Linked DNA regions of Mus musculus. The protein of the gene in region 2 interacts with the protein of the main gene of each other region in a pairwise test. Links are inferred from orthologs where the notes say so. Each region holds a gene or a part of one and is shown on either strand. Other genes may lie near its edges. The genes, in order: Maz and Bptf.

Region 1 (3,902 bases), on a different chromosome or scaffold from region 2:
TCCACCTGCCCCAGGAGCTGGAGACAAGAGCTTGTGGCTGCTAAGTTGAAACCCTTGGGACTGGCTTTTTGGCTATTCCTTTCTCAAAGTAACCACGTCCCACTTCATTCTCCCAAGCACACCCATGAGGTTGAATTTCTGGTAGACGGTCTCCTGTGAACCATGGCACATAATTTAGTGGTGGTGTTTCCAATGCTGTTGTACTTGCCCCTTAAAGAGTTCTCTCTACTCGCCACAAGCTCTTAGCTGCAGCACCCTTGACCCACATCGGTGAAAAAAAACCCAACAGCTCTGTGCCCCCCTTTTTAGTCCCTGCCCTCCTGGCACCCCTTAGCATGTACCTTTGTTGCAGAGCTCACAGACATGGTGAGGGCCCTGGCTGTGCACCTTCATGTGGTCGGAAATATAAGCCGAGCTCAGCATCTTGCCACAGACATGACATGGCACCTTCTCCTCGTGTCGGACTGTGTGCGCTCGGAGGCGATCCTTCGTAGCAAAAGCTGCCTCACATTTCTGGGGGAGGGTGTGGGGTCACAGGAGAGTTAAAGCTTCGGGGAGTAGAGAGAAGGGAGCAAGATAAGGGGATCAGAGTCTCGGGGGTCTTTGATCTGTAGGAAATGGGCGTGAGATGACCAGGCCTTGAAGGAGAAATGTGAAAATGGAGTGAAGAGGCAAAAAGAGAGAGAAAAAGGGGGTCTGAGAGGCTGAACCCACACAGCTACAATGAGGATCAAAATCATGAAAACCAGGACAGGAGGAAGCTGGCTTCCTACCTCACATTTGAAGGGCCGCTCTGTTGAGTGCACTTGTCTGACGTGACTGTTGAGGTGATCCGGCCTAGGGATATGTTGAGGTGGGAGGGGGTGTGTGTTAGGGCTTAGGCTCCAAGGTAAGGTGTGCCTCAAATCTACCTAGGTTCCTCCAAAATGCCTCTGCAAAGGTCCCAGCGTTTCCCCCTCAGCTTCAGTCCTCAGGCAGGAAAGCCCTCAAACCAAGATTCCTCTTCTGCCCAGAGGCTGCTTTCCTTCAGCCCAGAGACCCACCTCTTCTAAAGTACCACCCCCTGTTCCTAGCAACTTCCCTCCTCCCTGGGAGTGGTTCCTGTCCCCAGGAACGGGAGCCGCCTCCCCACCAGCCAAAGACAGGCCACCTTGTTGCCCTCCCCCCCACCGGCCTAGTGGGCAGCGAGGCCCCTGCACACCGGGAGAAGCTCTTGCCACAGTGGGAGCAGTTGTAGGGCTTGTGCACAGCGCCGTCATGTGAGCGCACGTGGTAACTCATGCGGTCCTTGCGCTTGAAGCGCTGCTGGCACACAGGGCACTGGTAGGGCTTCTCGTCCGAATGCGACAGCTTATGTCGGTTCAGGTGGTAGACGTCGCGGAAGGCCTTGCCGCACATCTCGCAGGCGTGATTCTTCCGGATGCGCTTCCCAGAGGCAGTCGTGGTCACAACGCCACCGGCCGCCACCGCGGCTGTGCCGCCGCCAGCCCCGGCTTCTCCCCCACCCCCGCTGGCCCCGCTCAGCTGGGGGACACTCAAGAGGCTCAGGGGCACCATGGTGGGCATCTTCATAGCACCCGAAGGGACCCGGCCAGCCTTGGCTCCCGTGTGGATGGCTTCGTGCCTTCGGAGGTTGTAGCCGTTCTTGAACTCCTTGGCGCACAGGGCGCAAATGTAGGGCCCCTTGCTCTTTGTCTTCTTCTCCAAGACAGATGCAACTGGGGCCACGGCGACCGTCGAGGTTGGGGCGACGACAGCGGTGGCAGCCGCTGCTGCGATAGTGGCGGCCGCGGCGGGGGGCGCGGCCTCGGCGGCTGGTGCGGAGACGGCAGGGGGTGGCGGAGGAGGCGCCGGAGGCTGCTTCAGGGCCGCTGTGTCCACTGTGGAGGCGGCGGCAGGGGCCGGGGGTGCAGTAACCACTGCAGCGGCAGCCGCCGCAGCAGCCGCCGCCGCCGCGGCTGATTCCTGCGCGGCGGCGAGAACCGGGAGCAAGTCCACTTGGAGGGGCTCGGCCGCCGGGGCCTGGGGCGTGGGTGGGGGCGCCGGCGCGGCCTGCGGAGACAAGGCGCCGTGTGGGCCGCGGTCGCTGGTCGGCGCCTGCCCGCCCGGCCCGGCCCCTACTCACCTGGAATGGACTCTGGGCGCAGCCCTGGGAGGCAAAGAAGCGGGACTGGAGCTCAGCCCCGACCTGCAGGGGGTTCTGGGCGTGACCCTGAGGTGGCGGGAAGGAGTTCATGAGGCCGCCCACCCCCCGGGAGTCCAGGCCCAGCACGGGGAAGGGGGGGGCCAGCAGCGTGCAAGGGAACACGGGGAACATGGCCTCGGCCACAGTGGGGGCCCCCGGAGCTCAGCGGGAGCCGGGGGCACGGGCCGCGCGGGGCCCGGGCTCGGGGCGCCGCCCCCGGCCGGCCGGGTTGGGCCGAGCCGAACGCATGGCCCGAGGGCCGCCCCGCCGCCCGCGCACCCCGGCCGGCGGGAGGGAGGGAAGGAGGGCGTCTTGTGGGGCGCGGAGCGCGGCGGCGGCGGCGACGCCCCCTGGGTGGGGGCGAGAGGCCCCGCGGGGCCGAGGGCCGGGGCCGGGGGCGGGGGGCCCGGGCGGCGGCGGCGGCGGTGGTGGCGGCGGTTGGAGCCTGGCGGGGCGGGGTGGGGGGAGCGAGGGAGCAGCTTCGGCCCCCGCCGCGCGCGCGCGCCCAGCCGGCGCCTCGGGGAGGGCGGGGGAGGGCGCGAGGGAGGGAGGGGGACAGCTGCGCGCGCACCGGGCGCGCGGAGGGGGTGTGGGACAGGAGGGAGGGCGGGCAGGAGGGGGTGTGGGAGGGGGGGCAGGGGCGGGGGGGGCGGGGGTTGTTACCTGGAAGATGAAGCTGCTCCAGTTGCTGGGATCCATGGCGGAGGGAGGAGGGAGGTGGCTCGCGCTCACCCTGGGGCGGGAGGAGGCAGCTGTGGGGGAGGGGGACCCAAGGAGGAGGCGCGCAAGGAGGGAGGGGGGAGGAGGGTGGGGGAGCGGCGCACACTGCGCGCCGGAGGGCGGGCGGGGGGCGCGAGGACACACAAGAGGCTGGAGCGGGCGCGAGCGCGAGTGCGCGCGGGGCCAGCGGGAGGGGGAGGGACAGGAGGGACTCTAGAGGGCGGAGGGACTGGGGAGCCACCCAGCAGCCCCGGTCGCCCCGAGCGCGAGACCCCCAAGACGGTTGCTGATTGGCTGGCGATGGTGCAGGTGGTGGGCGCGCGGGAGACTAGGCGGCTTCTCTTCCCCCACTTGAACGATTCCACCCCCCACTTCCCTCCGCCAGCGGCCGTTATTTCGCGCGCACGCGCACATAACAGGGACGTCGTTGCTGAGCGGGAGAGTGGGGAGCGCGCCGAGGGAGTTACAGCGGGGCGGGGCTAGCTTGGAGCGCGTGCCCGCTTAACGGTCGGTCGCTGTGCTTAAGCTTTCGCGTCAGCTTTTTGATTCTTCTAGGCCACCGTCCCCTCCCCATTCCAGTGGTTTATTTACAATCTTGGCCTAGTTTGGGGGTTTCCCAAAGATGGCGCCTACATGGGTGTCCTGCAGAGCTTGATCCTGACCCCCAGGGTAGTTATGGACTCTGACCCCAGCCCTGTCATCCTCAAAAACCAGGCTCAACCATGGAATAAAAACTGTATTTACACAACACGTCACTATACAAGGATTTTTAAAAGAAGGTAGTGTCAAGAGGGACCGCTGTGCTGGCTGGCGGCCAAGCTCAAGAGATTCGCCTGTAAAGAAGAGGAACGTGCGTTAGCATAGCAGCCTAAGGTGGGCTGCGGTGGGGGAACACCATGCAGAAAGGGCAAAGGTGGCCTTACCTTCAGGAAAGACTCCACCTGCTTCCCAGAGATGCCTTCCACCTGTTCCAAGTCCTCCACCTAGTGGGACAGCA
Region 2 (3,902 bases):
CATGGTGGCTCACAACCATCCGTAACGAAATCTGACGCCCACTTCTGGAGTGTCTGAAGACAGCTACAGTGTACTTACATACAATGTAAATAAATAAATTAAAAAAAAAAAAAAAAAGAATCCCTAACCACAAATTGCAGTTTAATTCAGCATTTTCATGGTCTTCAGTTCATCAGAACTGTTGGCCAGGTCTTCAAGGAGTTAAAAAGTTAGCTGAACTACCCTGCCAAAATGCCTCAGTCCTAACTCAAAAACTAACTTCCTCCACTACTGCTGTCTTCAGCTCAATTTTGAGCTCTTGATGCAGATGCCCAACTCGTAATTTCTTAAAGTAAAACCTAGTACTATAAAAGACACACTAAACTAAGTTGGCAAGAAATTAAACTTGCTAAAAGATAGCCCCTCCCTCCAGGTCCCATAAAATAGGCAACCTTCTTCAAGACAGGCAAAGGAAACTAGCTTTTTTCACTTGGTGTTAACCAATCTAATCTGGCTTAATTCTCATACTTGCAGCAGTTAGGATCTTAAGCAGTTATAAATGAAAACACTTAAATTTAACCACTCCTAGTACCCTCATCTTCTCTGAAAAACGGTAGACAGGCTCTCATAGGAAAAACCCTCATATGTCCTCACTTACTTTGTAAATGTCCTTACAATTAGATCTTAATTTTATCAATCAGGTGAATAAAAACTTAAGAAAAAGCCTGAAAGTCTGTTGCTACAAGTTAAGGGTCCCCCCCCCCCATAACTATTCATTTAATACAAAGGAGCAATTGCACATGTGCCTTTTACTTGACCCACATCTCAGGACCCACCTCAAGAAATTATTCGAGAAAACATCAGAGAATTCACCACTACTGATGAAGCCCACCGCTGATTCAGGAAGGGCTTTTTCCTCAGAAACAGAATAACAAGAAAAAGTCCTGTCGGGTCCAATCTGACACTTCTATACCGTGACTTCAAAAAGTTCATCTTTGGCAATTGCGCCTAGATGATCAACCACACATCTTCGGCAACAGGTGCCACGAAACTGCCATCTCCCACGCAAAGTCAAAATCAATCTGGTTAGGACACACGGCCCCGTGGTGTTATACTTTTATTTGGAACTTAACCAGAGTACTTTTAAATCGGAAGGATTGCCAAACTTGGTTTGGTCTAGTTTTCTGCTTTGCTCTTTAATCAGCATTTACCAGCAACTGTTGCACGCGACCATGAGTACTCACTCGAAGAACACAAACAAGCGCTCAGGACCCCAGGAAGCTCCCAAGCTCACCGAACAACAATCCTTCCTCCAAAACAGTTACCAAACTAGCTAACTAGGGTGTAGGAAAGGGAGAACGTCTAGGTGTGGTACCACCATCGAAATTCTCTTTTAAGGAACAGATAATTTTTCTTTTAAATCTAAAACAAAACGTATTAGACATGCAACGGTTTGCAAAGCAGGAGGCTTCTTTCATCGCAAAATAAATAAATAAAATACTCGTACCAAAACAAGGGGAGAAAGACGAACTCAATGGATACTTGTGTGCCAAAGTTTCAATCCTGCCTGGTGGAGCCACCGCACTTGGCACAAATTTTGAAGGGGATAAAGAGGGAGGGGGGAGAAGAGCGAACGAGTCTGTGGCCTGCAAACTGCAACAATGCAATCTCCATTTTGAACAATGCGCCTCTTTCCTCTTGCAAATCTAGTTTTGTTTTTGTCTTTTTTTTCTTTTTTTTTTTTTTTTTTTGTCACTAGACGCGCCGTGGCCTCCGCGTGGGGGACAGGCCGGGAAGGGGGGGGGGAGCTAGGAAGCAGGATGCACTGCACTGGAGAGGGAGCAAGCCAGGGGGAGGGAGGAGGTGGGGAAGGAGTCTCCCGGCGGCCTGGGTGGTTACCTGGAGTGCTGCTGTATGTACTATGGCTCCTGAAGCTGCTTTCCGTGCAGTAACTAGCGTCGTCGTCGTCGTCTTCCATCTCCTCCGGATAATCGGAGTCATCGTCGTCTTCTTCCATGTCATCTTCCTCCTCGTCCTCGGAATCCTGGGTCTCCTCGGCGTCGCCATCCTCCTCCTCCTCCTCGTCCTCCTCCGAGACCATGTCCTCCTCCTCGTCGTCGTCGTCACTCTCGTGGTCATCGTACACCACTTTGTTGACGGCGCGGCGGGCCGGGGTGGTCCGGGCCAGGTGGCCGCCCCCGCCCCCCGTCCTGCCGCCCCCGCCTCCTCGGCCCCCCCGGCCCGGGCCGCTGGCGCTGCTGCCGGAGGCCGGCGGTGGCGGTGGCGGCTGTTTCCTGCGGCCGCCCCCCCTGGGCGAGCTCAACCGGGTCTTGGGCGCCACCTCAGCCTGGGCGGCGGCCCACCTGCCCCGACTGCTGCCGCGGTGCCGCGAGCGCAGCCCCCCTATGGGTCCGGAGGCGGGCGGCGGCGGCGGCGGCGGTGGCGGCGGCGGTGGTGGCGGCGGCGGCGGCGGCGGCGGGGCCGGGGCGCAGCGCTCCGCAGCAGGAGCCGCGGGCTGCTTGGGCGGCCTGCCCCGCCGGCCCCTCATGTCGGAGCCGCGGCTTGCGGGGGGGTGGGGGGGGAGCGGAAGGGGTGGGGGAGGGGCGCGGGGGGCGCCGGGGCCGAGGGGGAGGGGAGGGCGCCGGGGTCCGGGCGGGAGGGGCGCGGCCCGGCAGCGGCGGGGTGGAGGGAGAAGGCTCAGTCCGAATTGCCGGGGCCCCGCTCCGGATCGCCTGCAGCCGCCATCTTGTTTCTTCCCTCTCGCTCGGTGACTGGGGGAACCGACAGCGGCCGCAGGCCCGGAGCGCGGTCACGTGAGCTGCGCCGCCCGACGAGCCTGGGACAGAGCGAGGCGGCGCGGCGGCCGCTAGGGGGAGCGCGGGAGCGGCGCGGCGGGGGCGGGGAGGCCCCGGAGCGCCCCTGCGCGGCTGCACGGCGGCGGCGCAGGAGCGAGATGGGTAGCGTGGGGTGTCCCCCCAGGCTGGGGTCTCCTCCTGGGAGACCACCTCCCCCTCAGCTGAGGTCTTAGGGAGACCTCAATGCGTGTCTCCCAAACCGGGGCCGGAAAACAGGGAATTTTCCTCCCAAGTCGCCGGTCCTTTTGGGAAACTAATGCAAAAAAAGGGGAGAGGGGCGTCTCGCGTAGAGGCACGACTTACAGACTGGGGGCAGTCACTACGCAAAGCCACCCACGCAGGTACAGGAGCTGGAGCTAAGTCAGTCCCAATAGAGAGCTCCCAAAGGCTTGGATCTAGAGGGTCCTGAAGTTGTTCCAGGAATGCACGCTGGGAGCCACACCCCCAGCGTGGTTTCACTGACTTTCCTGAGTTCCCACCCTCAGAGCCCGGGGTTAAATTCCAGAGCGTGGTTCCTAGCGGCCTCCAGGCACCTTTCTCTCTTCCCAGCTACGAACTTCCACACCTCAGCCAGAACTTAAGGATAGGAAGGATGGCGTCCTGTCTAGAATTGGCTTCACAAAGTTATGTGTTTGTGTTACCTGGAAATAATGTCTACCTGACAAATTACCAGTCTTGGTTTGACCTAGGGTGCTAGTCACTAAAGTGAAATCGCAGGCACATGCACCAAATGTTGCTAAATTGAGGTGGCTCAACACAGGGTCCTCGGGGTGGACTCTGGAAAGAAAAGAAAGGTTTAAGGAACCTATATGAGTGATTATTAATAGATGTGAGAACAGAAAAAGTAATTTGAAGAAAAATCGTTAATAGGATTCAGCCCACTAACTAACTGACTTATTACAATATAGTTCGGTGAATAGAAATGAAGTGAAAATTACTAATTGCCAACTAAGTTATTATGTATTCACTTTGGTTGATCTCTGAGAGTGGTAAACTTACCCACAGGGACCTCATAAGACACCAAAGGAAAGAAAGTAAGCCACAAGAGTTCTTGGGTAAACAAAGGCT

What was found.
Region 1: the proteins of Bptf (region 2) and Maz interact in a two-hybrid assay, tested with the Homo sapiens proteins (2 studies listed by BioGRID). The link is inferred for Mus musculus from reciprocal best matches to the Homo sapiens genes BPTF and MAZ.

Annotation. Positions count from the first base shown.
Region 1 is NC_000073.6:127,024,103-127,028,004, forward strand, and holds the start of Maz (myc-associated zinc finger protein), read right to left. Parts: upstream 2,378-3,902; 5' UTR 2,318-2,377; coding exon 2,126-2,317; intron 2,053-2,125; coding exon 1,202-2,052; intron 838-1,201; coding exon 774-837; intron 639-773; exon of another isoform or gene 514-638; coding exon 342-513; intron 1-341. Other genes in the region: kinesin-like protein KIF22, read right to left, coding at 3,691-3,888. UniProt on the Homo sapiens protein: Transcriptional regulator, potentially with dual roles in transcription initiation and termination.
Region 2 is NC_000077.6:107,129,396-107,133,297, forward strand, and holds the start of Bptf (nucleosome-remodeling factor subunit BPTF), read right to left. Parts: upstream 2,753-3,902; 5' UTR 2,528-2,752; coding exon 1,879-2,527; intron 1-1,878. UniProt on the Homo sapiens protein: Regulatory subunit of the ATP-dependent NURF-1 and NURF-5 ISWI chromatin remodeling complexes, which form ordered nucleosome arrays on chromatin and facilitate access to DNA during DNA-templated processes such as DNA replication, transcription, and repair.